Oryza sativa Japonica Group: one gene and its partners. The protein of the gene in region 3 interacts with the protein of the main gene of each other region in a pairwise test. Links are inferred from orthologs where the notes say so. Each region holds a gene or a part of one and is shown on either strand. Other genes may lie near its edges.

Region 1 (10,396 bases), on a different chromosome or scaffold from region 3:
TCGCAAATATATTAGAGCAGAAAATACGGAAATGAAGCTACGTGTGTGCTGTGGTCGGTGAAGATGGCGATGGAAGAAAATCAGAAATAATGCCATTGAAAATTTACCTGGCTGCCTGCTGCGGTTTTTATCATCCAGCCTCACCTGACCCGCCTCTTTCGTTGTCGCAGAGGGTGAAAATGAAATCGCTCCACTCGGCGACAGAATTTTCTTGGACAAAACTACATGGACAGTTACCTCATGATATCCTAGAAACCATCGTCCGTATAGGAGCAGACATTGACAGATAAGTAAATTTATCGCCGTGTTTAGTTCCAAAATATTTTTTCAAACTTCCAACTTTTCCATTACATCGAAATTTTCCTACACACATAAACTTCTAACTTTTCCGTCACATCGTCTCAATTTCAACCAAACTTCTAATTTCGGCGTGAACTAGGCGTGAACTAAACACACCCATCTTTGTTTTCTCCAGCACGAGTCTATGTCATATGACTCTGCATTTTTGTACTCCCTGCAAAAGGAAAAAAGAAGTCGGATGAATGATCGCAACAGCAAACAAAAGCAGCCACTGTTTTCTGGTTTAAATCTTGTAACCATCGGCGCCTGTATTTGAGCTTTGCGGTTGCTATCATCGCACTCAAGCAAAAGCCGTATCAAATGGATCAGCCTCGTAATACAACTGAAATACAATTAGCAGCTGATAAAAGACAACTTATCACACGATGAACTACTGTATTAAACAAATGAACTGAAAAGATTGCAAATAGAAATTAAATTTTGATGCTTCAGTTCCCATCTGCTAATGAGTTGGAGAACAAGGAAACACAGGTAGTGCAGCTAACTCCAGGGCGATCGCCTGTAGCTTCCGTGCAGCAACGCCGGTGGACGGCTGACGGAGCTCCGGCGACCGGCGGCGTGGCAGGGAGAGCCGCGAGCAGATCAAATCAAACTCTCTCCTCCATCCGGGCCGTATTAACTCATGGGCTGGTGAGACCAAACCCGACTAGAATCGCATTGGTACCGATCCGGCCCAAGAGGATGTGATGGTTCATAATAAATAGCATGCAAAGGTGATTACTATTCTTTCTTTTATCCGGCCAATCAGATTGCATCATGATTGAATACATACACCCATAGCTCAGGTGTGAAGCCATTACAGTTTCACAAAAGAAAGAACTAACAAAGTTACACTGCCATTCTGCTGCTAGGTTTCTCAAGAACAGAGCACAGCTTAGTGTTACATAGCCTCCCAATTTCACATTTTGATCTTATTATATACTTTTCAGCACTAAAAGAAAAGGCACACAACCCTACTGGTCACCAAAGCATGTAGGACACCTATTTGACATCCCAACTGCAAATACAAGGTGCATCTCCGGGAGGGCCTTATACATGCATGTGAGCATGTCTACAGTTGCGCTAAGGGTAAAAAGAAAAAAAAAAGCGCTCCCTTTTGCAAGGATTGGCACAACAAGATGTGACCCCACAGAAAATTCATCAATGTGCACAAGACCAGGAGGACGATATCCTTTGGTATCACCTGGAGAAATGGTGCAAACGCTACAAAGGGGGAACTACATCCAGGAGCATTGGATAGTTGGAATACTAAAGATCACCTCTTCTTTGCTGCTTTTGCGTCAGATTCAGATTTCCACACTATGTCTTTTAACTCTGACGAGAAATTGTTGTAGAACTGCATGCAATTTGATAGAAATGACGTTAATCGTTCTGAAATCATCAAGAAACAACTAGATGCTGGGTACTATGAAATGATTTTTTTTTTCAATGACCCACTATGAAATGATAGAATATACAAAGTTTGATAACATACATTGTGAAACTCCAGCGTGTCCCCTCCAGTTTTACGAAGCTCAACCATGTGGAGTGATGGAGCAACCTCGAAAACCTGTGAGATAGCATGTGAATAAGTTCTTTTATTAAAGCAAAATTTACTGAAGCATTGCACAGACTTAACAGGATACATGTCAATTTAATTTCCAATACCTCCGTTGCTACAGATAAATAGCCTTTTCTTCCAGTCTTATCACCTTTTAACTTCATCTGGAGCCCAACAAAAAAGAACAAATCCAAGTTACTTCTGAATGGCGAACATACTGATGCAAATTCTCAAGGAAACTAACAGAAACCCACATAAAGCAAACTAGTCAATACATAGCCGTCTAAAATGCTACAAACCTTATAATTTTGTTTCCGCACATTGAAACCAAGAGGTCCACAAGCTTCCTCTATTTTAGACATGATCTCCTGTGGTGTACATTGAGATGTGAAGGAAGTTTCCCGCTTCACCATTCCCTATATATATTAGGTAGACTCAGACTATTTAGTAAACGACTAAGGAGTACAACTAATAGGATGATAAATTGATCAAAACATAATTGTTCTGTCGGACTTAGCACATAAAGAAAAGAGGAAAACATTAGCAAAATTATATTAACCGATACAAGCTTCCAGAAAGAAGCACTCCAATCTATCTAGCACATAACATATTCTCAACATGGAATTATAATATTGGACTCTATCAAAACCTACCATCATTTCCTTCTCAAATAAATTTCCAAGGTTGAATCCCTGTGACCTTGAAATTAGAGCAAATGCATTCATGGATTCAGGCTTTTCTCTCTTCTCTGCCACGAGATTCTCCTGAAAGGTTAAACAAACAAACGTAACAAACAAAGAAGTGGTTTTAACTCAGGTTACAAATCGTATTTTTGGGAAAGGATGCAGGTTACAGATAAATGTTCAGCTAGCATTACCTCTGAACAATCGAATGCAGCATCAACATCATCAAGGCTCACATCTTCACCTTGCTCAAAAAGTGGTGGTTTGTAATCCTTTTTGAACCAATCATCTTCCAAAATTTGTGCAATTGTTATTCTCTGCAAAGAATATAGCTCATTGTTTTCTGACTTCTCTCAAATTGCCATCATAAAAGGCTTCAAAGAGGATATACAATGAAACTCATTGGACTAGCAGCAGTCAGCTGGTCAAACTGGTTAGCTGAAGATATATGTCCTTAATTGTCACTTACTGTGCAGGGATTAGGATCAAGTATGCGCTTAATGAACTTCTTCGCACCTGAAGAAAACCAATGTGGACAAGAAACTTTTGCCTTGCAGATCTGTGAAGAGAACATCAAAAGTCTATCAAGTTTACCAATGAAATTCACAAGAAACATTAGAATGCGTGCATGTTACACATACTTACCAGTTTGTAAAGGGTCATTAGGTTGGGGTCATCGAAAGGTAAATATCCAGCCATGAGGACAAATAAGATTATGCCGCAGGACCATACATCAGCAGCCATACCATCATAACCTTTATCAGCAAGCACCTGAGGGAACAGTATGAATATATGATTCTTACATCTTTTTGGAGAAAATACACGAGTTTAATCAAAGGCAACATGAATCACCTCAGGTGCAACATAATTTGGTGTTCCGCAAGCAGTATGCAGAAGTCCATCCTCCTAAATAAAACAATCAAAATAGTTTACCAAAGTTACTTCTTTCAACTTTCTTGTCACCAAAACAAATAATTATGCGTCCGAAGTTCATTTGAGGTAATAGTGCAAGTTAAGGAACAAGTCAATTAAACCAGAAAAATGCTAGAAAACCCAAACACATCACATTAGGATAAAGAAACTGGTTAATTTTTTAACAACTACAAAAACATACTTCTGGGTACTAGCTAGATATCATACTTTTGTTTGTGGAGCAAACGCACTAAGGCCAAAATCTGAAACTTTAAGAGCTCCATGTGAATCAAGAAGCAGATTCTCTGGCTGCAAATGGCACATAAAAAATATGAATGAGAATACATCCATCCCAGTGGAGATTACCCAGAAAGGAGGTAAGCAGGATAATTCAACAAACCTTCAGATCTCTATGGTACACTCCTCTGCTGTGGCAATAATCTACTGCATTTATAAGTTGATGGAAGTATCTTCTTGCTTCATCTTCTCCTAGTCTCCCAGAATTGACCTAGTTGATAATAACATGATGATAAATGGGTCAACTTGTATGGTCCAAGAACTGCGGATTAGTCAGTCAGTATCAAAACAGTCAAATGTGCCGGTTCAACAAGCTACTCTTACAGCATGTAAAAGCAATTTGTACATAAACAAAAATAAGAATCGTGATATCTGGCACAGAAAGTTCATGGGCCTTACAATCTTATCAAAAAGCTCGCCTCCATCAACATATTCAAGAACCATGTATATCTTTGATTTGCTAGCCATGACCTGTCAAACACACATTGAATGTAAAATTCTCATTGAATGAGATGAGATAAAAAAAAAAAGAAGGGTATGAGTGGTAATGACGCTATTGTTCCTGCAAAGATAGCAAAGTACCTCATGCAACTGGACCACATTTGGATGTTTTATTAGCTTCATTGTGGAAATCTCCCGTTTGATCTGATAGAAGTGGAATATGAGGTTATCATTCACAATCGAAAGCTCAAGCTGGAAAACAGAACAGCTCGAGCAGGGACATTTAATTGTGCCAACACATCATATGGAAAATCACATATTTAACCAAAAAAAATACTAGTTTTTCCACCAAACAATGCATCAACCAATGAGTGATCTAGCACGGAATGTACAATACCCGAGTTTCCCCCCAGTCAGACTGAATTTATAACTCCCCGAGAAAAAAAAATGAATCTAGAACAACTCTTGCCACTCCTACGAACACCAAAGCTAGCACAGCTTTTTGCTAGGCAGAAAGCATTTGATTAAGACAGGGTTGGCATCACCGCATCGGAGATATTGTTATAGTTACATGGCCCAGCTTGATAATCTGTTGTTACATTTCCGATTCAAACTTGATACAATTCCATCTAATTTCCTTTAGATCAGAGCAGATTTAGCCCGCTGGACAGGCGGACACATGACCTTTCTTCAATCACAAACAATCCAAACAGACAGAATCTTGACAATGGTAGAGACGTAGTAAGCGCATATTCTCGTTTAATGTTTATTAATCCCCATGAAAATCCATCTTTTATAATAATCTAGCATCTATCTAGAATAATTTAGGATTCTTAATTCGATCCCCTCCGAGAAAAGATCCAACTTGTTATTACCTGATGTCTAAAAAAAGAGATAAATATTCAATTTTGAGGATGATTAAGGCGGCGGACCTGCTCGACCATCTTGTGGCGAAGCACATGGTTGCGGTCGAGCACCTTGATGGCGAGGGTGTCGCCGGTGCGCGTGTCGCGGGCGACCTTGACCTTGGCGAAGCTCCCCTCCCCGATCGTCTTGCCGAGCTCGTAGCGCCCCACCCTCGTCGTCCTCCTCGCCGGCCCCGCCCCCGCCCCCGCCCCCGCCGCCTCCGCCTCCGCCTCCGCCATCAATCCCTCCCGCAGATCAATCCTCCACCGCGCGCCTCGCCGCCTTCCGATGATGGGATCGAGGAGTGCGCGCGTTGGTAGGTCGCACGCAGGCTGGATGGCTTGGGCGCCCCGTGCGCGCGCCTCAAATAAGGCGGAGATGCGTTGGTGGCAGGTGTGGTGTGGGGTCCGGTCGGGAACCGCGTGGGACGAGACGTAGGCGGCGCGCGGCGTGCGGCACGGATGCGTGCGTGCGTGCGCGCGCTATCGTTTTGGCCGTGTGCAACGCGACGCGATTCACAGTTTTCACAGGCAGTGGCCCGAACTCTATCCCAATCCCACCACCACCCCGGCAAAAAAAACGATTAATCAAACTCGAAAGCAACACGCGTACGTAACGAGCACGCGCGAACGCGGCATTTAACCGTGGCTCCTCCTCGGATGGATAAATCCAAATGTGGGGCGAGATTTTACGTGTTGCCACTTGGAGATCGCTCCTTTCGGTTTTCTTTACGCTGGAGTAGGGAAAATCTCGCCGTCGTCCACCACCGTGGCCACAGCGACAGGCAACGAGCTAGTAGTAACCCTGAACATGCGTGCTTTGCACCTTCCTCGAAGGAGCACCCGTACGGTGCCGTACTCTCAATCATTCCTCCGTTGAAAACGACGCGCTGATCCATCCGTGCTCCACACGTCCTCCCCTGAACAAACTCTGGCTCTCCTCTGAACAATTCACCGCGACCGCGACGACGACAAAAACGAACGTGTGTGATCTTGCTACTGTATGCCGTTTGCTGTGTTGTTTTTCCAGCAATCATGCACGCAATTAACCTTGCCTGATGTGGTCGCGGTCGGAAGCGGTGCGCCACGAATCAGCAAGCGGCTAGCAATAGCAATAGCAATAGCAGTAGGCCAGTAGCAGCGTGAATGCATGATTGATGCCGCGATGGGGCCGAGAGCCTTATCCTGCGGCGTCACGCGGGGGCACCACACCACCACTAGCGCCTCGTGCCATGTCCCGTTCGTCGTCGCTGCCTGCACTGCACACCACATTCTCTCAAATCTTTTTCCTCGCCGCCATCAAGGCATTACCACGACAGGGGGCGTGACCGATCGACCTGTGTGTGATTGCTGATTTGAAATCGTAACCGTCACATTACATTTGGAGAGAATTGTGATTGCAACTCTTGTGTTAGTGGTTGATACTGCAGCAGCTTTCGTGACTTTGGAAGTAGACGGCGAGATTATTGTGACGGGGACAGCACTGTTGTTCTGGAGTGAGAGTTCCACGTGCGACTTTGTTTGCGTTGTCAGCTTGTGGGATTTCGATTCCAGGAGGATACGTACTTCGATGAGCTCCATGGCCGGTGATTTTTGTCGAGTTATACTTGATGGTTGTCGCAGAAACACTCCTAACCGCGAGTTAGAAGAAAGTAGAATCGTGCTAGATAGAAAATGCTTAGTTTTCTATTTTAAGAAGGCTATGCTAAGAGATTTCTGAAAAGAAAAATTAAAACCGCGATTTTATACATTTTGACGTAGTTCGTAGATATTCAGCTCCCAACGTGGCAGGTTAGCAGCAGAAGAAATGTCATAAACCCAAAACCCTCTGTTTGGGAGCCCATAATCTGGCGAGAAACCTGGCCCAATTCTTTCAGGCCCAGTTGACAAACAGGCCCTGAAACCGGACTCTCTCTCTCTCTCTCTCTCTCTCTCTCTCTCTCTCGCTCTCGCCTTACAAAAACAACGGTGGGCTGGCCCATGATGCTCTCTGTCGACGAGTGAAAGAAGCCCAGCCCATGAGAAGAAAAGGATCGTCGTCTCCAGACCATACGATACATGCGCGCATGATTCATCGCCCCGACGTGGTCAACTACCCCGAATGTCTCCATCAACATGTGGTACAATAAGGGCACCCGCAATAATTATCTATAGATTTTCTATAAAAGATACATGTCAGCATATTTTCCTACTTGAAAGAGATTAAATGGAGAGAGAGAGCAAAGATATCTACTAATCTGGAGATAGTCTATAGAGAAAAACGAGACAATGGATTAGAGAGCTATAGATACCCATATAGACATACAATTAAAGTGGTTTACTATTAATCTAGTCTATTACTGATATGTATATATTTTATAGATAGCACGTTACTTTACTATTGTGGGTGCTCTTTGGGAAGTCTCAAGCTAGGGAAGTGAAGCCGAAGGGAGAGGCCAGGCCAGGTCGGCCGTGTCACCGGACGGCCGCTTTCCGAGTTGACGCTCCACCGAATGGCACCGTCCCAGGACACGCCATGCCCCCGCCCGTGATATAATCGAGCTGAATTGCCACAGCTATCGTGAGTGTGAGTGCACCGCTGCCGCAGCGGCGTCGTCGTCGGAACTCGAAACACAGCAACGGCTTGGCCGGTTTCCCGTTTGGTGCCCAGAGGTAACCGTACGTCGGAACTCGCAACTCGCAAGGCGGCTTTTGCATGCAACTAGCGTGCAGAATTCGTGTAGAATCTGGCCCGCTGCGTACGCTGCCGCCGCTGTCCTCGTCCCAAGAAAGAGGAGGAAGAAAGCTTAGCCAGAATAATGTGATGCGAACACACATCATCAGTATTTGTACTGGAGCAGTAGTAGTAGTAGTAGTAATAGTACAGTGAAGTACTGGTCCACTATAGATACTCCCGTCCCCATCAACCAGGCGCAAAGCTTCGGCCGCCTGAACAGTGAACACGACGAGCTCGATCCTAAGATAGATTCTTCAGCGTCTGTTCGGTTGCAGTCTTGCAGATGGGAGAGCCTCAACTTTTGACTAGGTTTTTATTCACCGAGAATGAGATGCGAATTCTAAAACGTGTAGACGCCACCAAACCGCACTATCTAGTTAAGTCCATGCCCCATGCATATGTGGCTTTGTGCCCATCGATCCGTTCGCCATTATCGCAGTTTGCAACGTAACTGGAACAGACCAACATATATATTACTAGCTAGCTTCCGTCCAAATCTCCACCCATAATCTGCCAGAGCCCCGAGACAAATGTTAGCGTGATACACACACATGAGCGACGCGCGTGCTACATGCCCAGTCTCATTGCCAGTCAGCCTTGCATTATTGAAGGCGACGTCGATTGCCAAGTCGCGACTTGTGAGGAATAATTGGGACTTTGGCCGAGTTGGCACCACCATCAGATTCAGGCCTTCGTGCTCCAACTGCCAAGTACTAGTCGCTGCGGTCACTCTGTGTTTCCAAGCTGTGGCAGTGACCGCGTAGGAAAGAAAACAACACTTTCTTTTCTCGTGCCTATGTGTGGACTATGCGGCGATAGTAGTAAAGGAGCCATCATTTTTGTGTGACTATGACAAATCGCTGTCGGGCTGAGCTGCATAGCTCTCTCTCAAAATTCGATCCGGAGCTGTCAATGTTAACTCGCTGAATAAAAAACCTTGACAACGAGAATTTCTTCCCACGTACTTGATCGACTAGAATATAATTAAGTGCCAAACTTATCTGCAAGATCAATCGAAGCATCTGAAATCTGCAGGTTTGTACTAGCAAGAACTTTTCTTTAGAATTTGGATCCCATTCTGATCACATTCCGATCATCTTAGGAAAAACGACGATAAGAAAGAACACCGAAGAAGAATAATAAGACTAAGAAAATGTACACTCGACGGACGGACGACAGATCGAAGACAACCCAGTCATCTCTCGGCAGCGAAGGGCGGCGGGACCTGGTCCTGGACGGCGCGGAGGCTGCCGAGGCGGCGGCACGCACCGGAGGCGAAGAGGGAGAGCCAGGCGACGAGCGGGGTGCCGAGGAGGACGAGGCCGACGGGCACCATCCACAGCTGCTCATGCGCCGGGTGGAACGCCACCGCCCACCACACCAGCACGGCCGCGCCCGCCACCCCCGTCGCCGCCACGCCCGCCGCCACGGCGAGGCACGACCACGTCAACCTCATTCTCTCCCCCGCCGCCGCCGCAGCTCGCTGCCGTCCTCCTCCTCCTCCCGCCTCCACGTCCACCGCCTCGCCGACTGGCTTCCTCTCGTGCTGCGCCATTGCGAGCTAGCTGGTGGTCGTCTCGTGGCACGCTGCTGCTGCCGCTGCCGTGCGGCGAGGTGAATATACTACGTTGGGGAGGGGGGCCTGAGGCGGGGGCATGCGGGCGGGGTTATCTGGTGATGGCTGCTGCTTTGGCCCACGCCACAGCCACAGCCCCCAGGCTTCCATTTCTACTGCAGACGCGACGCGACACCACCGCTTATCGCTTTCCACGCCAGGATCAAAGGGGCTTTGATGGGTTTCTTGCCACAAAAAAAAATTAAAGATCACCAAAATTTACTGCTGTCGCATTTTGTAAGGTAATAAATCAGACATCTTGTAGTAAGAATTTCAACATTTTCTACCCCGAAAATCAAGGGCTTCATTGGTTTCTCGTTAGGAAAAACAATATACCATATTTCGGTTGCGTAATAAATCAAATATACTATCTTCTAAACATATATGAACCTTACCAAATAGGAGTTTAGTAGATTCTGAGTATTTACTCTTGAGATTTCCAAAATTCAGAGCAAATAAGATCTCTGGTACACTTTTTTTTTACCATGTATCAATAAACCAAAATTTGGTATTCCTAAAGTTTTTTTTCAACAGACTAATCATGTCCTCACTTTAACCCCGTCCCCAGCTCGGTTACTCCGGGCGCAATCTGCATCCAGCTCAGCTCACCCCGGTCGATTCCGCGGTGAGCTGTGGCTTGGTACTTACTGGCCACGAAGCTGGCTTGTTCGCTTCTGTGAGAGGGATTCAAGAGGTGTTCGTTTCCCGGCCGGCCGTTGCACTGCTCGCATACATCCAGCTTCAGCTGGAAAGTTTGTCGTATCGTGCCGGACGCACAACGTGTAGTCGAAGCAACACGCAGTGTCTCGTTTGGAACGTATAAAAATTTCTGAATGAAACGTTTCCAATCAATCCTGTGTTACTCCTAATTTCCATAATTTCGGGTTTACTATTCCCATTTCAGATCGTTGTTCTTCCATTTCCATC
Region 2 (9,710 bases), on a different chromosome or scaffold from region 3:
AAGCAAGTAGCTGACACTATCTCTTTGATCATTGTATTAGTGTCATTCTGCAATTCCTTTCACAGTGGATGCTCGATCCTGTATAGGCCTCTGCTTATACAGCCTAACACTTTCTTTCAAACTCCTTTTTTTTTTAACGTAAACCTCACATACTTTCTATGACATTGCAAGATAGGAGTATAAGGCAGTTAGCTAGCATAATGGCAGTTTAGGCAACCGGAACTCATACTGATGCAAGCTGCTAATGGAGCAGGGAGAAATTAATACATCTTGAGACAAACTACAAAGCGTGTTGATGAGCAGGGAGCGGCGGTCAGTCAAACTGTTTAATATACCTCGCTGCAAACATTGTACAGAGAAACTGAGATGCCAAAACTTTCAGTGGCCCTTTGTACATGGTCATCTCTTATAACTAAAAGATCAGAGATGAATTGAATTGGCAATCTCTACAAATACATCCACTAACAAACCCAATACCACTCAAGCTGCATAGCATTAGATTACACATAGTACCTGCAATAGTGGTGAGCATTCCGGTATGGTTAAGAGGTAATAAGTAGAGGTAAATGCAAATATTATGGCAATAGAAGATGAAAATAGAGTTGAACAACAGCATACAAATGATGGATGTCAAAGCAGACTAGCGCTTCGATAGCCGCGATATCCTTGATTTGCTCTTCTCAATTGGAAAATTCCAAATGATATCGTCTAATTTGCTGCAGTAATTATTTATAAACTGCACATAAGACACGCGGAGTTAGTTGTGCATGTCTTAGCAAATCAAAAGCCATTATCCAGATCAATTTATTTTACATTATACAATTCACAAAAATATCTAGTGAAGCAAGAAGTTTCATCAGGAAATTATAAGCATTACTATTTCAGATTTCTTGGGTGAAGAAACTACTTGAATATATTTGCCCATGCCTAACCTTTAACATTAGGCATGCTTATTTAGCTTTGACAAAACACAAACTGAAAAATAAGACAGCAGCAAATGAATAGTACGGTCCATGCATGTACACAGGTAGGTCCCACATCAGTCTGGTACTACTAGTACCTAACTATTTTCTAGACAGTCTCCGTAAAGCTCTGTGGTAACAACATTGCAAAATATTTTCCAGCTTTATAACACTAGGCTGTCTACAGCCTAGATGTATCAGGTGCATTTAGCTATACATGGTGTATCGGCTGTAGGACCTCAAGAAACAGCATGATGCAAGTATGAAAGGCTCTTTGCATCTGACCTTGTTATAATCGGAGGTGTCTCCCGCTGCTCTTTGCAGTTCAATCATGAAGATCGATGGGGCAACTTCAAAAATCTGACCAGAGGAAACTCAGGATGAAAAGGATTGGAGTAATCCATAATAGAAGGCAATAAAACAACAGATGTACTTCATTACAAAAGAGGCAAGACTCACTTCAAGCATAACTGCGAGATGACTTGTCTTATTTGCATTTAGACCTTCCACCCTCATCTGAATATATTAATAGCACAACTAGATGTAAGGAATCAAATATGTCCATGGTAATGCTAACTAATTAGCAGTAAAAGAAGTTTTGAGAATCAAAATCACAAGACAAAACATTATAACTCTTTTACTTGCAAAATAACAGCATGAATAATATTAAAACTGTAAGCCCGCATTTGATCACAATTTACCAGCATCCAGACAATGTTATGCCAAAAGGGAAAAAAAAAGGCCACAAACAAACAATACAAGAAATTAAAGAGATGTATCACTGGCAATACCATTCAATACTGTTAAACCAGTGGTAAAAGGACTGAAATGAAGTACTGTTTACTCAGGTTGATAAAACTTGTGCATATATATGTACAAAAAATTGGGGTACAGTTTATTGTAACCCCTTAGACCAGCAACCTAAACACATTCTAATGAATTAATACTTTTGATATCATCATGCTTTTTGTGTCAATTCAGAGGTAGTTTGTGGTTGCTACTTAGACAATAATTTCAAATGTAAATGCCAGCATATCAAATGACGTTCTCTTGACAACTTGTTCAAACATGAGGCTTGATACATTGAAGATAATAAGAAATTTATTTGACTTTAAAATAACATATTCACATTCCAGAAAACAATAAGCTTTTCAAGACAGGGTGCTGCTTCTTCTGATACAATTTAGACCTTAACAGAACTACAGATCCTCATGTCTGTATGTCTGTACAATGAACCAAAAAACAGTTACATTCTAACTATCACAAAATAGATAGAACAACTGCTTGTCAGCTAAGATGAAGGAGAAGATGATTTGCAATATCTGTATAATAGGTAAGTGATGTTGTAACAAGCTATAGGGTGTGGGGCAACAAACTTTACCTTATAATTGCGAATGTGTGTCTTGTACCCCATTGACTGAGCAACAACCTCCATGCTTGACATGATAACCTTTGCTGGTTTGCGTGATAAAAATCTATTTTGAAGCTTGTCATAGTCCTGTAGATCAAGGCATCAAGCATTAGGTCCGAGGAGAAGAAACCCATAATTATCTATAAAACTCACACACAGGGTAAACCATGGACATTTAAACAAGCTTCTAGGCAATACCAGTATTGCGGAGTACATACAAAAATAATAAAAATAGAGGATAGTTTGAATTGTGTCAAGTTGGGCAGCAACAATATTAAGGTGTGTTTGAGAGAAGAGGAACAAAGATCATCAGATGGGATGGTCTATCATTGTCTTTTTCCTCTGGTTATATGTTAAAATAATTTGAATCAAATGGATTTTCTTTAGTCTATGCATATAATACATGATTGCAAAAATAATGTAAACTGCCGCAGCAAATCACATGTACACTATTTAAACTAAACTGAATATTCACCGATAATAACAATAAGAACCATGATTTAATGCCCAAATAGCGTATTAATTAAAAAATGTAGAACTGGGACATGACATAATAACAGTGTTAGTCCTGTACTCCAACTTTTAGTTTGCGAAAACACTAGACATCACAAAATGTCTTGCACCATACCTGTCGGCGATCAAATAGTGCTGCAAGGTTCAAGCCTTGAGATAGAATTATTAGGTCGAATGCATTGAGTGTCAAAGGTCCTGCTTCGTCATCTAAAGTATGGTCAGCGTCTTCCTGAAATCACACAGAAAAAGGACCACAAATTATATATTTATATAATGACAGGTAAAAGGCACAATAGAGCTCCCGTAAAAACGTACAGCATAGCTTCAGTGCGAAACAGGCTTTCTGATCAAATTTCATAATTAACAATGGAGCAACTGAAATTCCAGTTTCAGTTACTGCTAATAGTTCTTATCTGGAGCAACTGAAATTCCATTCCGAGGCTTTCATTTGGAGCATATTTTGAAGATTGTAGCACATACAAAATGTCATATATATGCAATGATTCCTTTCCAAAAACAGTTCTAAGACAAGAGTAAGCATAAATACCTCAGGATCATCAAAAGCTGCATTGACATCATCAAGATTGACTTCTTCACTTTCAATTTCTCTGGTAGGTTCATAATTCTTCTTAAACCATTCATCATTCCTGATCTCTTCTATCCTGATTCTCTGTTCCAAGTCAAAATTCATATTGAGTCAACAAAATGCCAATGAAAATCAGTATCTAGAGGTGTGATGTATCTAAACTATAATTCATTGAATTCATATCAGCCAATGGAGATTTTCTTTAGCTAAACACTTCTATAACTTTACTTACTTTATCTGGATTAGGGTCAAGAATTCTGTGAATAAGTGACTTGGCACCATTAGGAAACCAAGCTGGGAATGAATATTCTGCACTCTCTATCTGTATTAAGCAAATAGACAGATATAAATTTGTATATTCTGTACAAAAGAAAAACAATTTTAGATAAAAACTTCTATTCCATCCATCAAGGCATATGTTGAACTAATATTCAAATCTAGAAAATAAAAATAGCTATATGCATCTCAACCTGAAATATGCAAATAGATATATCTCTTAATCAGTCCTACTAGAATGGAATACAAATGTTTATACTTCCACCAACCAAAAAGAAAAGAGAAACAAGAGCGAAAAGGAGAGGATTTAGCTATGAAGCCATGTGTAATGAGTCTGCTATTGTTGTTGTGCTCCCCAGCTTCTCTGCTAATTCTCTTATTGAAAGTAGTAGCATGTTAACTAGTTTATTCTAAAGGATGCCGAGGTTAATTTCCTTTTAGTTGGTTAGTTGTTTCGGCAAGCTTACATTTCTTACTTGCCGGAATGTTTCAGCAGTAGGAAAGCAGGTATGAGATCACTATGCTCACGTATCAGAGCCACTGCCAGGATCTGTAATCTTTAACTACTAGCAACACACTACATTACATAAGCTACTTAGCTATCTATGCACTGAGAAGTACCGAGTATGTTTGATATTGTTTTCACATGGATTTCACAAACTAATACCACTAATCATGCTTAAATGAGTGGCTAGATAATAAACGTAAGCACATAGTGTATAGTAAAAGCAAATACAAGTAAATGTCATGAGATCTGATCTTCCATACAAAGAGATCATGTGCCAATATGATATACACTGACACAAAATCATAAATGGGTTGCAATATACTTATTTGAGCTTCAAAAAAGTTGCCATAGGTTAGAAGAAACAAACCTTCCCGTAAAGGGTAGTCAAATCAACTTCATCAAATGGAAGATAACCTGCCAACAGGACATATAGAATAACTCCACATGACCATGTATCAGCAAGTGCTCCATCATATCCTTTATGACTGAGAACCTGATCCATACAAGGAGTTAAAGGTTGCAGTGAACACATTATCTATAATCATATGAAACACATCACATGGTTTTACTGAGAATGAAAAGTAAAGCATTTTTCCAAATAAAGAATCAAGAGATATCAATCATGCATATTTGGCTCATTCAGTATAGAGATAAAAAACAGTTCTAGTTATATCACTTTTTATTTTTTACATTTTTTTAGAGAAGATGTCTTAAGTTACACGGTGGAACAATGTTACTCAACCTGCCTGAAGGATAAATGTATGAGTATTCCATCACACATGTTTAACTGAGTAATCTGACATCTTAGGATGAAGGTATATTTAAAGGGTTAATTGGATCCATGCCACTGCAACTATACGAAATTGAAAAAATACCACTACTATTCATCATATTAGCTACATGCCACTAGAAATTTTTAAAATTAGAACCATGCCACTCTCGTCCCTTTTTCCGTCTCCTCTCTCACACCGTCTCGTTCCACCGTTTAATCGTTTCCATTTCCCTCTTCTTTCTCCGTGCGACTGCAAAGGACAGCGGCGACGCCGCCGGCAGCTCCCGAGCACTCCCGCCGCAGATGGCGTCGAGGACGGCAGCAGCGGCTCCCGAGACCTCCCATCGTGGATCGAGTACAGCGGCGGCGGCAACGACGTGCCACTGAGCTTCTTGACGATGCACCCCACGTGGCCCGCGGCGAGCCGCCGTCGGAGTCGAAGGCCAGGTCGTAGGGCCGCGACGTGGCGGGCCCCATCGCCTCGATCTCCCGCCACCGCTGGATCAGCGACGACGCGCGCAGCACCACGGGCGGGAGCTCTGCGCCGCCCCGCCGTCGACGACGCGTCCAACGGCGCCGGGGACGGCTCCCGGAACACGGCGGCGCGAGCGGTCACAGCCTCACGGGTGGCCGACGCGAGCGCGGACAGCTCGGCGTCCCTTGCCCTCCGCCTCCGCTCCAGCGGCGCGGGGCCTCTGCGGACGCCTTGGCGGCGGCGGCCCCCGCCGCCGCCCACGGGTCCGTCAAGTCCTCGCCATCTCGTGCTACTTGGTGGCGCAGTCCATCAAGAGACTCGAGACGAATGGCGGCGGCAAAGTGTCGGCGGTCGGGGACCCCGACATGCGGCGCCACGGCCGCCGCATTGCCTCGGCCGTGAGGCCCTTGGCATGGGCAGCCCCCGCGGCGCCAAGCCGCCGACTGCTTCGATCTTGCTTGGTCCATTCTTGTTAAATCCATACAGATGTTGCTGTCGCTGGATTGGATGAGTTCATTTGTCAAATTGACAGTGAGATACGTGAAATCTTTGCAGAGAATGGCGTGGACGAGCACGGCAAGCCGACGCACAAGGTGGTGTACAGGGTGATGGACGCCGACAACAACCTCCGTGCCGGCAACCCGTTCCCCGGCGCGACGGCTAACATCATGGACGTGGTGGAGAGAAGTGGGGAATAAAGAGAAGAGGGGCGTCGACTTGGGCGGCGGCATCAGGTCGCGCCGCGCCCGGCCCGCCACGCTCCTCCGCCATTGCCGCATCGTCCTTGCAAGGCTTGCCTTCGCCGTCGCTGTCGCCATCGGCGCCTAGGCCAGCAGCCGCAGCCGTTGCCGCCGCCGCGACGGGCGCCTCGTAGAAGAGGTCCGAGAAGATGTCCTTCTCCAGCGAGTCCGCGAACGGGAACCACAGGCCAGCCTCGTCTTCGTGCACCGGCGCCGCCGACCCTTGCGCCGGTGAGGACGACGAAGGTGGTGGTGCTGTCCCCGGCCACCTAGGAGCAGGAGGATGGGAAGGGAGGGGGGATAATGACGGGAATAGAGACGGCGTGAGAGAGGAGGACGGAAAAACTGACTGGAGTGGCATGGTTCCAATTTTAGAAATTTCGAGTGGCATGTAGCCGATATGATGAATAGTAGTGGCATTTTTTCAATTTGGCAAAGTTGCAGTGGCATGGATCCAATTAACCCATATTTAAACCACCCTTTGTTGCAGAAGACAATTTTAATGTTTTCTATCTAGGAAAACTCAAAGCAAAGCATGTGATTCAGATGTCACTCACCTCTGGGGCAACATAATTTGGGGTTCCACAGGTAGTACGTAAAAGGGCACCACCCTGCACAAGAACAAACTAAATAACTCGACAAAAGGATATGAATATTGGACAAGCCTTCAGAAAGGTATGGACCTGAGCAGGCCAGGCGCTGAGTCCAAAGTCTGATATTTTAAGATTTCCTTGGGAATCAAGGAGGAGATTTTCGGGCTGCATACATACAAAATAAAATCAAAAAGCCCACAAACTAAACACAAAAAGTTTTCGTATTTTTCTTTTGACTTATCACCTTTAAATCTCGATGGTAGACACCTTTGCTGTGACAAAAATCAACACCATCAATGAGCTGCTGAAAGTATCTGCGTGCATCAGCTTCATTGAGTCTTCCATGACGAATCTGAAATGGCATTGTTCCCAGAATAACTAAGCTTCAACATAGATTTGAAAACTCATTTTTGTGTGTTAAATCCAACAAGCACAAGTGGCGATTGTTCAATCCAGAAGTAATGAGGTAGACAACTAGGCAACAGATACAAGAACTAATTTAACTTCAATTTTTTCATAGGTCATATCGAGAAAATGACACTGAAAAGGACACTTATCATTAACAAGCAGGGCCTTACTATTTTATCAAATAGTTCACCGCCAGTGATGAACTCCAAGATTATAAATATCTTCTTCCGGCTTGCCAAGACCTGCACATAACAGAACAGATATGATCACCCAATCAGCACTTGGAAAAAGCAAGAGAGAACAAAGAAGTAAACAACAAAACTTAAAGAGAGAAAAGGGAAAGAGGGTGTACTTCGTGTAGTCTAACCACATTCGGATGCCTCACAAGCTTCATTATAGATATCTCTCTCTTAATCTGCAGAAATAATTAAGTAAGCTCCTGTTTTATCACCCTGATACATCAGGATTCAGCTAACTTACGCAGCTCAACAACACAAAACTAGAACAGCTAAAACTGCCTTTCCCTTACAAGCATAAACCTGTGAGTTCTTTTTTACAAAGGGGTGCTTCTTGACATAGGTACCTTACTTTTTTTTTTCTTTTATAACAACAATATCTTAATAGGTATATACAGAAGAACAAACTGCTCGGCGGAAGTTTAAAATTGCGATTCGATTCAACAATCCTGGTACCACCACTGTTAACACTTTGTTGTGGGGAAAGGAAGCTGCAAGCTAGACGCCAATTGGACATGAAGCATCAAACCCACCATTGACAAACCGAGTAGAATTTGGCGCAAAAGAGGATGAAAAGAGGGTCGAATTAAACAATCTCCCTCATCCATTCTGTGTCTCAAGGCGCTAGACAAATCCGTGGCATACACTAATTAATTCCCAAGCTAAGCTAGTACAGCAAAATCTCTTGATCAACACGCAAATAGAGAGAACAAAAAAAGGAAAAAAAAACAGAAGAGATAGATGGGGGCTCACCTGATCCGCCATCTTGTGCTTGAGGATGGAGGAGCGGTCGACCACCTTCATGGCGACGCTCTCCCCGCTCTCCGTGTTCTGCGCGAACTTCACCTTGGCGAACGTCCCCTCCCCGATCGTCCGCCCCACCTCGTACTTCCCCACCCGCCGCAGCGCCCCTCCGCCCACCATCGCCGCCCCTCCTCCCTCCCTCCCTGAGCTCCCTCCGCCGCCTCTCCCGGTCTCACTCCGAGACACCCAACTGGCGGCGGCCGCCGCCGACCACAGCTCCCCTACTCCACCGCTAGGGTGGTGCTCAGCTCGACATCGCCATTGAGATGGGGGATTCCGAGCTTTTCAAATGGGGCCGATTTTTTTTTTTTTTGGGTTCTATACTAGCTGCTGCTCGCTTGAGCACGAAGCTGTCGTGTCGTGTGTGTGCGTGTGTGGCGTTGTCTCGATCTGCTACAGTCTGAACAGATGAATTTCTTTTTTAGTAGGAATTTTTGTGGGAGATGAGTGTTTTTTTTTTTTCGTTTTAGTACTACTTTTTTTCGTGTCCGTCAAAATTGGAGGTAGAAAAGACTGGCTAATAAAAAAGGGAAATGAATGAAAAATGGGTTGCGTTTGGTCAAAAGGAGAAGGAAAAAAATGAAAGCCGCACGGACATACGGAATTGGATTGGCCTAAATGTCAGCTGTATAATGATGTCAGGTACGTTTTGAGACCTCTTCGTCTCCCTCGACAGCTAACCGTCGCTTTCGTTTTCAACCGGAGTTTTGTGGCGGAGCTACTACCCCATCTCAAAACATTGCTATTAGTACAGAACTAAGGGCTGTTCACTTTGTTGGCAAAATAAACCTTATCAAATTTTGGCGAGATATTTTTTCCTTGTCATTTGACGTTTTTTTACCACATGGTCTTTGCGCCAAGATTTGCGCAGCAATTGCCGTGGATAAGGTCGACTGGGAGTCAAGGTGTGTTAGTCTTGCCATGTGAATAAAATACATGAAGTATGTAATTTTTATATGTCAAATTAAGAAATATCTCTATGTTAATTTACATGTCAGATTAAGTACTAATCGATACAACAAATTTAACATATCTTAAACATCTAAATAAAAATTGATTTCTTTAACCATTGAAAAATTAAGACATTTGAAACTAAAATAAAAAATAAAAATAAAATAAAATTATAGCCCTATATAACTAAAATTACATTTGTAAATTTAGTTGATTTGACATGTAAGTGCACTGTAATTTTGATAAAAATAATGGGTAAGTAAATATGTACTTATTAAATTCTTTAAAATATAAAATTACAGTCCTATATAACTAAAATTACATTTGTAAATTTAGTTAATTTGACATGTAAGTGCACTGTAATTTTGATAAAAATAATATGTAAGTAAATATGTACTTACTATTTTCTTTAAAATATAATATTACAGTCCTATATAACTAAAATTATATTTGCAAATTTAGTTGATTTGACATG
Region 3 (10,396 bases):
TCGCCGCTCGTCGGGACGACGAGGCGTGGCAGTGGCACGAGCGCTTCGGGCACCTCCACTTTGAGGCCCTGAAGCAGCTCAGTGCCAAGGAGATGGTGCGAGGCATGCCGTGCCTTGACCACGTGGAGCAGCTCTGCGACGTCTGCGTGGTGACAAAGCAGCGGCGGCTCCCCTTTCCCCAGCAGACGAGCTTCCGAGCCAAGGAGCGGCTCGGGCTCGTGCACGGGGACTTGTGTGGCCCAGTGACACCGGCCACACCAGGAGGACGACGTTATTTCCTGCTGCTCGTCGACGACCTCTCCCGCTACATGTGGGTGATGGTCCTCGGCAGCAAGGGAGAGGCTGCGGACGCCATCAGGCATGCGCAGGCTGCAGCAGAGGCGGAGTGCGGCCGCAAGCTGCGCGTGCTGCGCACCGACAACGGCGGCGAATTCACGGCGGCTGAATTCGCGTCGTACTGCGCTGATGAGGGCATTCAGCGCCACTACACCGCGCCGTACAGCCCACAGCAGAACGGCGTCGTCGAGCGGCGCAACCAGACGGTTGTGGGGATGGCTCGGGCCCTCCTCAAGCAGAGGGGGATGCCGGCCATCTTCTGGGGGGAGGCGGTGGTGACGGCCGCCTACATCCTCAACCGCTCGCCTACCAAGGCCCTCGATGGCAGGACACCGTACGAGGCTTGGCATGGGCGCAAGCCGGCGGTCTCCCACCTGCGGGTCTTCGGCTGCCTCGCGTTCGCCAAGGAGCTTGGCCACATCGGCAAGCTCGACGACAGGAGCACCCCAGGGGTGTTCATCGGCTACGCGGAGGGCTCGAAGGCCTACCGCATCCTCGACCCGGAGACACAGCGTGTGCGCATTACGCGCGATGTTGTGTTCGACGAAGGGCGAGGGTGGGTATGGGACAAGGCGGTGGATGATGGTTCGACTCCGACGTACGACGACTTCACCATCGAGTACGTCCACTTCGAGGGAGCTGGGGGAGTAGGCAGCTCTTCTTCACCGAGCGTGTCTACCCCAGTCCCCGAGCCTCCACCGACTCCAACACCAACACACCCTCGGGCCACGACTTCGACTACGACGAGCTCGTCGTCGACACCACCCCAGCCGGTGTCCCCACACGCTCCAGCACCAACAGCCACTCCTCCGGGCACGTCTACTCCGACGCCAGCTCGTGTTGAGCGCAGCCCGGTGGAGTTCGTTACTCCGCTCTCCCACGACGGGGAGCGCATCGACGCGTACCATGACGGCGAGCAGCTACGGTACCGTACGATGGAGGATCTTCTCGGCGACCAGCCGGTGCCGGGACTGGTGCCTCGCAACCTGGAGGCGCAGTTGCACCTTGCGTGCGACGACGGTGAGCCTCGGTCTTTTGCAGAGGCCGAGAAACACGCGGCATGGCGTGCCGCGATGCAGTCGGAGATGGACGCGGTTCAGGAGAACCGCACCTGGGAGCTTGCTGACCTCCCTCGTGGTCACCGCGCGATCACCCTTAAGTGGGTGTTCAAGCTGAAGAGGGATGAAGCCGGAGCCATCGTCAAGCACAAGGCTCGCTTGGTGGCACGCGGTTTCGTGCAGCAGGAGGGGATCGACTACGACGATGCCTTCGCTCCCGTGGCACGGATGGAGTCCGTGCGACTCCTTCTTGCGCTGGCTGCTCAGGAAGGCTGGGGCGTCCATCACATGGACGTCAAGTCGGCGTTTCTAAACGGCGACTTGAAGGAGGAGGTCTACGTGCACCAGCCGCCGGGATTTGTGATCCCCGGCAAGGAGGGCAAGGTGCTACGCCTGCACAAGGCCCTCTACGGCTTGCGGCAGGCACCGAGGGCGTGGAATGCCAAGTTGGATTCCACGCTCAAGGGGATGGGCTTCGAGCAAAGCCCGCACGAGGCGGCCATCTACCGGCGGGGCAATGGAGGAAATGCCTTGCTGGTGGGTGTCTACGTCGACGACTTAGTGATCACCGGCACCAAGGATGCAGAGGTCGCGGCGTTCAAGGAGGAGATGAAGGCCACCTTCCAGATGAGTGATCTGGGGCCTCTCTCCTTCTACCTGGGGATCGAAGTGCACCAGGACAACTCCGGGATCACGCTTCGACAGACCGCCTACGCCAAGCGCGTCGTTGAGCTGGCTGGGCTCACCGATTGCAACCCAGCTCTCACTCCGATGGAGGAGAGACTGAAGCTGAGCCGCGACAGCACAGCGGAGGAGGTGGATGCTACACAGTACCGACGTCTTGTGGGGAGCCTTCGCTACCTCACCCACACACGGCCGGACTTGGCCTTCTCCGTCGGCTACGTCAGTCGGTTCATGCAGCGACCGACGACGGAGCACCAGCAGGCTGTGAAGAGGATCATCCGCTACGTTGCGGGGACTCTCGACCACGGTCTCTACTACCCGAGGTGTCCTGGCAAGGCACACTTCGTCGGGTACAGCGACAGCGACCACGCCGGCGACATCGACACCAGCAAGAGCACGAGCGGGATTCTCTTCTTCCTCGGCGAGTGCCTCGTTAGCTGGCAGTCAATCAAGCAGCAGGTGGTGGCCCTGTCCAGCTGCGAGGCCGAGTACATGGCGGCATCCGCCGCTTCGACCCAGGCGCTCTGGCTTGCTCGACTGCTTAGTGATCTCCTCGGCAGAGATACTGGAGCGGTGGAGCTCAGGGTGGATAGCAAGTCCGCTCTGGCCCTGGCAAAAAACCCCGTTTTTCACGAACGGAGCAAGCACATCCGAGTGAGGTACCATTTCATCCGAAGCTACTTGGAGGAAGGGAGCATCAAGGCGAGCTACATCAACACCAAGGACCAGCTTGCGGATTTGCTCACCAAACCCCTTGGGAGGATCAAGTTCCTTGAGCTTTGCTCCCGGATCGGGATGGCTCAACTCTCCCACAAGACGGCGCACAAGACTTAGGGGGAGAATGTAGGAATAAGTCTTGGCTGGTTGGTCTTGGTCTTGTGGTGCCTTTTTTCCTGTTTTTCAGCTTTCTAGGACAGCATCTCTACTTTCAGTTTGGATGCTCTAGGACAGTTAGGACAGCAGTTTGTTGAGATGCTCTAGGACAGTTTGTTGGGATGCTCTGCTCTAGGACAGTTTGTTGGGATGCTGACAGCACCCTCTTAGACTAGCATGGCTGCATGGCTGCTACAAGCAGCTATAAATATGTATCCAATCCTCTTTGGGAGGATATGGCTTTTGTGTTTAGTGAATGAAGAAAACCAGAAAATTGCCCCATCTCGAGTGCCATCCTCTTCTCAATGAGAGTAACCATTGAAATTCTAACAGCAATTACACTATTATTGTGTTGTAGTTACGGCATATTTTTGGGGGGATTTTATGTCGAACGTTAGATAGGTAGTCCCTAATTTCATACCGTGAATTTAGCTACTGATGACGTCAAGATTATAGTTCATGAGAACTAGCAGATGTGCATGAACCTGTATGGCTTCTCAGATAGCAGTTAATGAACTTCTTCGCCACGCAAGACGCAACAAGAAGATGCAAAAAACAAAAGTGAAGATGCAAGAGAAACGCATTATGTCTAGCTTTATAGCACGGCAAATCAATATTGACAAGGCAGGAAGAAAGTGACTCAAACTTTGAACTATCATTGTGTTGTTATACTGTGATAGTAGCCAGATGGTTTATATCAGGAACAAGTTTTTTCCTATTAAACTTTGAGGAAAAAAATCACATTTTGATACACAGAAAATTCAACAATTTAGAAGGCAAACACATAATACAATGAGCGGTACAAGAGGAATAAAGGATCGGGGTGTGTACAACAAAGATTCATGCTCACTTCAAAGATGAATGAATAGAACTGCCAGCATAGCAAAACGATTCACAGAAAATGGCATCCACCACATAATTTGTGCAGCTGAAACCTGAAAGACGGAACAGTGAGAAAGGCGTGGGGGTCTTCTGGCTAGCACCACAAGTTGTGGGCTAGCCGACCCAGGTTCGAGCCTCACTCCCCTCTTAATAAATTCCGATATGAGAGCACCTCCTCTCATATCCAGCGAAAGACGGAACAGTACATGGAGATATATTCAAATGTGGCAAGGTTTAATTTTGTCATTCCACAACAAGCTACAAAAGCAGATAGTAAATGTATCAGGATGCTCATAATCACACATGACATGATGCCAATATGGTGATGAAAGACGGAACAGTAGATATATTCGAATGCGGCAAGGTCTAATTTTGTAATTCCACAACAAGCTATAAAAGCAGATTAGTAAATGTATCAGGATGCTCATAATCACACATGCCATGATGCCAATATGGTGAGATACCCCCAAGAAACAGTTAGATGTTCACCTTATTGATGAGCCCATCGTCGATCACAGAACCACTAATGCTCTTGAACAGCTCGAACAAAGCCTCCACCTCACTTACGCTAACTACACATCCAAAACAACTAACTCAGAATTTCCAGTACGCCCATCGATTGCATAAATCAGATGAACTACTTGATGAAATGAAATGAAATACAGTACTGTAGAGTACTCCTCAAGTGGCAAGTACAGCAACAACAACTCACAGGCGGTCTCGGAGGCGAGGCCGACGGGGTCCTCGTACCCCGGGCGCGGACGCCTCGCCGTCGACTGGAAGCACCCCATCCCCACGCGCACCCCGCCCAGACCCGACCCACCGGAGTAGCCGAGCACACACACCCCCTCTACCGCCGCCGCGGCCGATCTCGCATCACCCACCCCTCCACCTACCCTTACACACCCACCACCACACGCCGGCGCACTCCCCCGGCGGCGCGCGCGCGGCGGCGGCGGCGGATCGGAGCGCGGAGCACGGGAGGAGGTCGGGGTTGGGGGCGGGGGGGTTTGGTGCGCGACGCGTCGGGGTCGGAGGGGTGTCGAGACGAGACGGGCTATGCCTCCTCCTAGTCCTACTACCTACGCGATAGGTGGGCCCCGAGTCCGTTGCGCCTCGCTTTCCCCCGACTTCTTTTGGGAAAGAAGACCCGCACCGCGCCCACGTGCGCGCGGCCCTTGCGGACTTGCGGCCCATGGATTGGAAGAAGCGAAGAAGGGAGGACCTCGTCGTCGTCGTCCATTCCCATTTTGGTCAGCTGGGAATATTCGCAGATTTTTTTTTCCGAACGCGCAAAACAATTAAGTCAATATATTAAAAAAAAATATTTGTTTACATAACGCAATCAGACAGACTGGCTTATGCCAAGAAAAAGAAGAAAAGACAAAAAAAAACCAAGAAAAAGAAAATGACTATTACGACGGCTAAGCGCAACTCCAATCAGCGAGAAGGGGCAGAGCCACACGGAATATTAGCAGATCATACGATTTCGCAAAGAAATTGCAAGCCAACTTGCGCTAATCTTACCTCTCGGTCACATGCAACAATTCCAGCACTAATGTGTCATGGTTTACCTCAGCCACGCGCAATAATTAGAGTAATCTAATAGTACTACTACCACAGTAGTGAACCACGACCAGGCAGATTGTTTATGTCACATCGAAGAAATTCAACATTGTTCCAAATCTTCGATGGAAGATTCTCGAGCGGATGCTTCGAATTGATAGTAGTCCCATGGTTTGCTTGGCTCATAATCATCTTTTTTTTTTGAACGACTGCTCATAACCATTTGAAATCCCTACGAAACTAGCAAGAAAACCAAGTTAACCAACGTCTTTGCTAACGATTACTAGCTAAAACTGATTAATCAATTAATTTATCGTGCAGCCCATGGTTTGCACTTTAGAAAACCGGCCCAGCATCTTTGGAAAAGAAAAGCCCAGCTCCATGTTTCTGGACACCGCCCTCTTCTGAGCGTGGGCCTCCATATAATACGTACATGGAGCCACGTGGCAACCCGGAGCGACGAAACGGCCACGTCGTATTCACAGGACACGCCACCTAATCCACGGGCCCCACTCCTACCCCGCCCGCCGATTAGCTGAGCTGACGCGTGGGGCCCACGTGACAAGCGACGGCACTCGTGGGGGCCACGTGTCGCGCACCTCGCCGTCGCCGTCGCTGCTTCGCTTCGGCTTCAAGTCCGACCAAGAGACCCTCGTCGCTTTCCGGTGACGGCGACGAAGAGAATTTCATATCCCTCCACCTCGCCGCCTCCCTTCTTCGGATTTGGTCTGGTTTGGTTGGAGGTTAGCTCGCCTCTGATTGGGTTGGTTGGGTGGTCGGCTTCGGTCTCGAACCGCGGCGACTTCTCCTCTTTGGGTTTGGGTTTCGAGGGGGCCAATGGAGGAGAGGTACGAGGCGTTGAAGGAGCTCGGGGCCGGCAACTTCGGGGTGGCCAGGCTGGTCAGGGACAAGAGGAGCAAGGAGCTCGTCGCCGTCAAGTACATCGAGAGGGGCAAGAAGGTCTGATGCTGCCTCTGTCTCTGTCTTCTCTTCTCTCCTTTTGTGATTTATTTCGCAGTTTCTTGCGTCGGACTGATTGATAATTTGATGGTGTGTGCGAGTTGATGTTTTCAGCAACTCGTTGTTCCAGATGCATGACGAGTCTTAGCTTTTAGTTTGATTGATTGATGATGCATGGATGGTTGGTTTGCTCTGTGTGCAGATTGATGAAAATGTGCAGAGGGAGATCATCAATCATAGGTCGCTCCGGCATCCCAATATCATTCGGTTTAAGGAGGTAATTCAGATTTTCTTTTCACTCATCAGTTCGTTCGGCAGCTTCACTGATTATCAGTCAGTCAAACAGTCAAACTAGATGGAGCTGATCTCCACTGCTACTGTAGAAAGTAAAATGATAAGGTTTTGGGTTTATACATCTATCAAGCACAAAGCTTACCCTGGCTGATTACTTACCATACAATTAGTAAGTAGTGTATCGTCTTAAGATCGAAGTAAATTCAACTGCTATAACGATTTCTTGTTTTGTGTGTCGATCAAGAGCAGGTTTGTTTGACACCCACACACCTAGCCATTGTCATGGAGTATGCTGCTGGTGGAGAACTCTTTGAACAAATCTGCACCGCAGGGCGATTCAGCGAAGACGAGGTTGCTTTCAGGCCCTACTTGTCTTCTTGTGAGCTAATCTTCCCGTTTTGCAAACCATCTGTGCTCAATAATTGATTCATGTCAATAGGCAAGGTACTTCTTCCAGCAGCTAATATCAGGTGTCAGCTACTGTCATTCTCTGGTATGTTTTGCTTGTTGAAATTCTGCAGACGTAACAGGCACATCGTAAGCTCATTAAGTTAAGTGGTCATTAACTGCTTCTGCAAAATGCAGGAAATTTGCCACCGTGATCTTAAACTTGAGAACACCCTCCTGGATGGAAGCCCAACACCTCGTGTGAAGATTTGTGACTTTGGTTACTCAAAGGTGCTAACATGGATGCTACTAGTTCTGTTCTACATCTCAGAGTACTTTACTAGAAATAGATTGAATTGTTCTTGCCTTCTTGGTAGAATCAAACTGGAGTACTGAACAACTTGGCTTCTTTGATTTTCAGTCTGCTTTGCTGCATTCGAAGCCGAAGTCTACAGTTGGTACTCCAGCATACATAGCGCCAGAAGTTCTTTCAAGAAAAGAATATGATGGCAAGGCAAGTTATTTCTCATTTCTATGTTTTGCAATCTGAATTTGGCTGTAAAGTAAAGATAGATAGCAGTATCTATCACTATTGTTTTTTCTTTTCTAGCATCATGGAACCGTAGCAATTGAGCATTTAGACGTTAGCTAAAAGTGATCCATTGCAGCTGAAATACTTACATTGAGTGCAAAACAAACCGAACAGCATAAGCTTTACGTTTTCAGTAATGTTAGGACGCTACTGAAGTTCCTGGAACATCGCATCATAGAATTGCATCTCTGCATGATCTGAGGTAATGCGTCTCCTTACCCAGGTAGCAGACGTTTGGTCCTGTGGTGTGACACTGTACGTGATGCTTGTCGGTTCATACCCGTTTGAAGATCCAGGTGATCCGAGGAATTTCCGCAAAACGATCAGCGTAAGTGCTCCATTTCCCTCTGTTCATCATCCAAGCCTTTTCTACACCTTGCTTCAATGGTGAGTCTGAAACTCTGAATATGCATGCCTTGTTCCACTTGACAGAGAATTCTTGGCGTGCAATACTCCATCCCGGACTACGTGAGGGTGTCTTCCGACTGCAGGCGCCTTCTATCTCAAATATTTGTTGCCGATCCTTCAAAGGTACTTAATTTCACACACTTTACCTCCCAGTTTAAGTGAGATCCCAAGTTGCCAAACTAGACCAAACTTTAGATTACTCCGAAGGGAAAATTAACCTTAAATCATACTCAGATTCTACCTGTAATCTTACTCATTGTAATGCGGCCTATATGATCTCAATTATATGTTCTAATGCTCAAACTATGTCTCTAATTAATTAACGAGATGGATTCCCTCTGAATTTAACTAACTCGAGTTTTTGCATCCCTGAACTTTTGATGTTCAGAGGATCACGATCCCTGAGATAAAGAAGCACACGTGGTTTCTGAAGAATCTGCCAAAGGAGATATCGGAGAGGGAGAAGGCCGACTACAAGGACACGGACGCCGCCCCTCCGACGCAGGCCGTCGAGGAGATCATGCGGATCATCCAGGAGGCCAAGGTCCCCGGCGACATGGCCGCCGCCGACCCGGCGCTGCTCGCGGAGCTCGCCGAGCTGAAGAGCGACGACGAAGAGGAGGCCGCCGATGAGTATGACACCTACTGACCATCCATGATCCATATGCATCCATGGTCGTTGTGCTGCAGCTGTAAATATGATCCGGAATATACGTGATCGCCAGACCAAATGATATGCGTATTCTGATGCATTTTCTGCCGTGTATACTCTGCACCGGATTTTCCTGCAGCGTAAATAATAAAGAAAAAAAATAATTATTTGTTTGCAGTTTCGTGTGATCATTTGGCAAGGACTATTCAGTTTGCATGGTCATTTTCCCAGTTTATTCATTGAATTATGTAATTGGATTATTTGTGCTACACTTCCTTGTCTTTGGATTATTTAAACATATTATTTGCGCTTCTCAAAATATTTTTCTATTTTAAGATATTTGTTAAATTTATTTCTTAAATAATTTATTCTCTCTATAATCAAAACGATAATCTGTTCAATATTCTAATCAAATAAAACTTTAAGGCCCCCTTTGATTGAAAGGAAATTCATAGGAATTTTAGAGGATTTTATTCCTATAGAAATTTTTCCTACAAAGCATTTTGAATTAAAGGAATGAACCCTATGAAATTCCTATGAAATGCCTCTTTCCATACAAGTTTTAGAGGAATTTTAACAAGAGATAGAATCTCATGGAAGAAATCCTTTGAGTCTTTTATCTCTCCTCAAATTTCTGTGTTTTTCCTGTGGTCCAATCAAACGGTCATTCTTTTTCCTGCGTTTTGCAATCCTTTGTTTTACACTTTCATTCCTGTCAGAATCCTATGTTTTTCATATTCCTCCGTTTTTTCATTACTGTGATTTAAAAAGGCCCTAAAGCTTTGAGGTTACCGTAGTGAGGTGAGTGTAGCTCAATTAGAAACAGCGAGATTTGTCGGTTTCGTTATCCAGTTATTCGGATATGCTATAGATAATGTGTGTGTATGCATATGGAGATGAGTATGTGCGTTGTTACTTATGAACGTATACATATTTGTACCATGTTCATAAAATGGTTATTGTATAGACGTACAGTACAACTTCAGTGTGTGTACACCATTGTGACTATTATATGTTGGTGTACTAATCGGGTTTTTAGTTCCCATTATCTTTTCCATGGAGATGTTTTTGTTCGAATTTTGGTCGGCTCAGAAGAAGCTAAAGATTCGACCACCTAAGAGGCGGAAGCTAGATCTAGACCGGTATATTTTTGGATTTTTGATGTTTCATACGTGCTAGAAAAATATTTCAACTTGGGGTAAAATGGTGTTGCATTTGTTTGAAACATGTAGATTTTCACGATTTTTTTTAATGTTTCAATCAATGTATCTTTGTTGTTTACCGCATGATTGAAAAATGTTTCAAGTAAATTTAGACGATATTGTAATTGTTTAAAACACTTTTTTAAGTCTAGTGATGAAACAACTTCTGCATTTTTCATGCGGCCGATTTGTAGTTGCTTCGTTTTGGTTAGTCTAAAAAAATTGTGACTATTATACGTAGTGACTGGAGTATTATACGGCGGCTCTACATATAAATACCCAGTGATTTGCCTCCGGCTGCGGATCCACTCGATGACGTGTCACTCTGCCATGGCGGCTCTCACCGTTGGGCACGCGGCGATCGTCCATGCCACCACGCGTCTCGAGGACGCCCGGTCCACCGGCCGTCGGCGGCGGCGGCGGGGGATGATCACGGTGCGCGCGGCGGCGGCGGCGACGAGCGGGTGGGAGCCGGGCAGCTGGAGGGCGCGGCCGGCGAGGC

The links.
Region 1: the proteins of calcineurin B-like protein 1 (region 3) and cBL-interacting protein kinase 9 interact in binary tests that used the Arabidopsis thaliana proteins (3 or more experiments, as listed by UniProt). The link is inferred for Oryza sativa Japonica Group from reciprocal best matches to the Arabidopsis thaliana genes CBL9 and CIPK9.
Region 2: the proteins of calcineurin B-like protein 1 (region 3) and cBL-interacting protein kinase 8 interact in binary tests that used the Arabidopsis thaliana proteins (3 or more experiments, as listed by UniProt). The link is inferred for Oryza sativa Japonica Group from reciprocal best matches to the Arabidopsis thaliana genes CBL9 and CIPK8.

The regions. Positions count from the first base shown.
Region 1 is NC_089037.1:1,521,405-1,531,800, forward strand, and holds cBL-interacting protein kinase 9, read right to left. Parts: upstream 5,729-10,396; 5' UTR 5,379-5,728; coding exon 5,166-5,378; intron 4,438-5,165; coding exon 4,375-4,437; intron 4,264-4,374; coding exon 4,192-4,263; intron 4,004-4,191; coding exon 3,896-4,003; intron 3,805-3,895; coding exon 3,724-3,804; intron 3,490-3,723; coding exon 3,436-3,489; intron 3,355-3,435; coding exon 3,229-3,354; intron 3,143-3,228; coding exon 3,053-3,142; intron 2,901-3,052; coding exon 2,778-2,900; intron 2,665-2,777; coding exon 2,554-2,664; intron 2,317-2,553; coding exon 2,200-2,316; intron 2,065-2,199; coding exon 2,008-2,064; intron 1,910-2,007; coding exon 1,835-1,909; intron 1,697-1,834; coding exon 1,616-1,696; 3' UTR 1,053-1,615; downstream 1-1,052. Other genes in the region: uncharacterized protein, read right to left, coding at 9,050-9,409. UniProt on the Arabidopsis thaliana protein: CIPK serine-threonine protein kinases interact with CBL proteins. Binding of a CBL protein to the regulatory NAF domain of CIPK protein lead to the activation of the kinase in a calcium-dependent manner. Involved in K(+) homeostasis under low-K(+) stress.
Region 2 is NC_089035.1:20,037,162-20,046,871, forward strand, and holds cBL-interacting protein kinase 8, read right to left. Parts: upstream 8,560-9,710; 5' UTR 8,405-8,559; coding exon 8,234-8,404; intron 7,660-8,233; coding exon 7,597-7,659; intron 7,487-7,596; coding exon 7,415-7,486; intron 7,189-7,414; coding exon 7,081-7,188; intron 7,002-7,080; coding exon 6,927-7,001; intron 6,855-6,926; coding exon 6,801-6,854; intron 4,750-6,800; coding exon 4,624-4,749; intron 3,795-4,623; coding exon 3,705-3,794; intron 3,557-3,704; coding exon 3,434-3,556; intron 3,116-3,433; coding exon 3,002-3,115; intron 2,461-3,001; coding exon 2,344-2,460; intron 1,479-2,343; coding exon 1,422-1,478; intron 1,323-1,421; coding exon 1,248-1,322; intron 737-1,247; coding exon 641-736; 3' UTR 619-640; intron 514-618; 3' UTR 231-513; downstream 1-230. UniProt on the Arabidopsis thaliana protein: CIPK serine-threonine protein kinases interact with CBL proteins. Binding of a CBL protein to the regulatory NAF domain of CIPK protein lead to the activation of the kinase in a calcium-dependent manner.
Region 3 is NC_089044.1:22,985,495-22,995,890, reverse strand, and holds the start of calcineurin B-like protein 1, read right to left. Parts: upstream 4,875-10,396; 5' UTR 4,625-4,874; coding exon 4,546-4,624; intron 4,406-4,545; coding exon 4,323-4,405; intron 1-4,322. Other genes in the region: serine/threonine-protein kinase SAPK3, read left to right, coding at 6,237-6,359, 6,562-6,636, 6,903-7,004, 7,093-7,146, 7,239-7,331, 7,462-7,554, 7,856-7,960, 8,065-8,163 and 1 more; phospho-2-dehydro-3-deoxyheptonate aldolase 2, chloroplastic, read left to right, coding at 10,207-10,396. UniProt on the Arabidopsis thaliana protein: Acts as a calcium sensor involved in abscisic acid (ABA) signaling and stress-induced ABA biosynthesis pathways. Contributes to the regulation of early stress-related CBF/DREB transcription factors.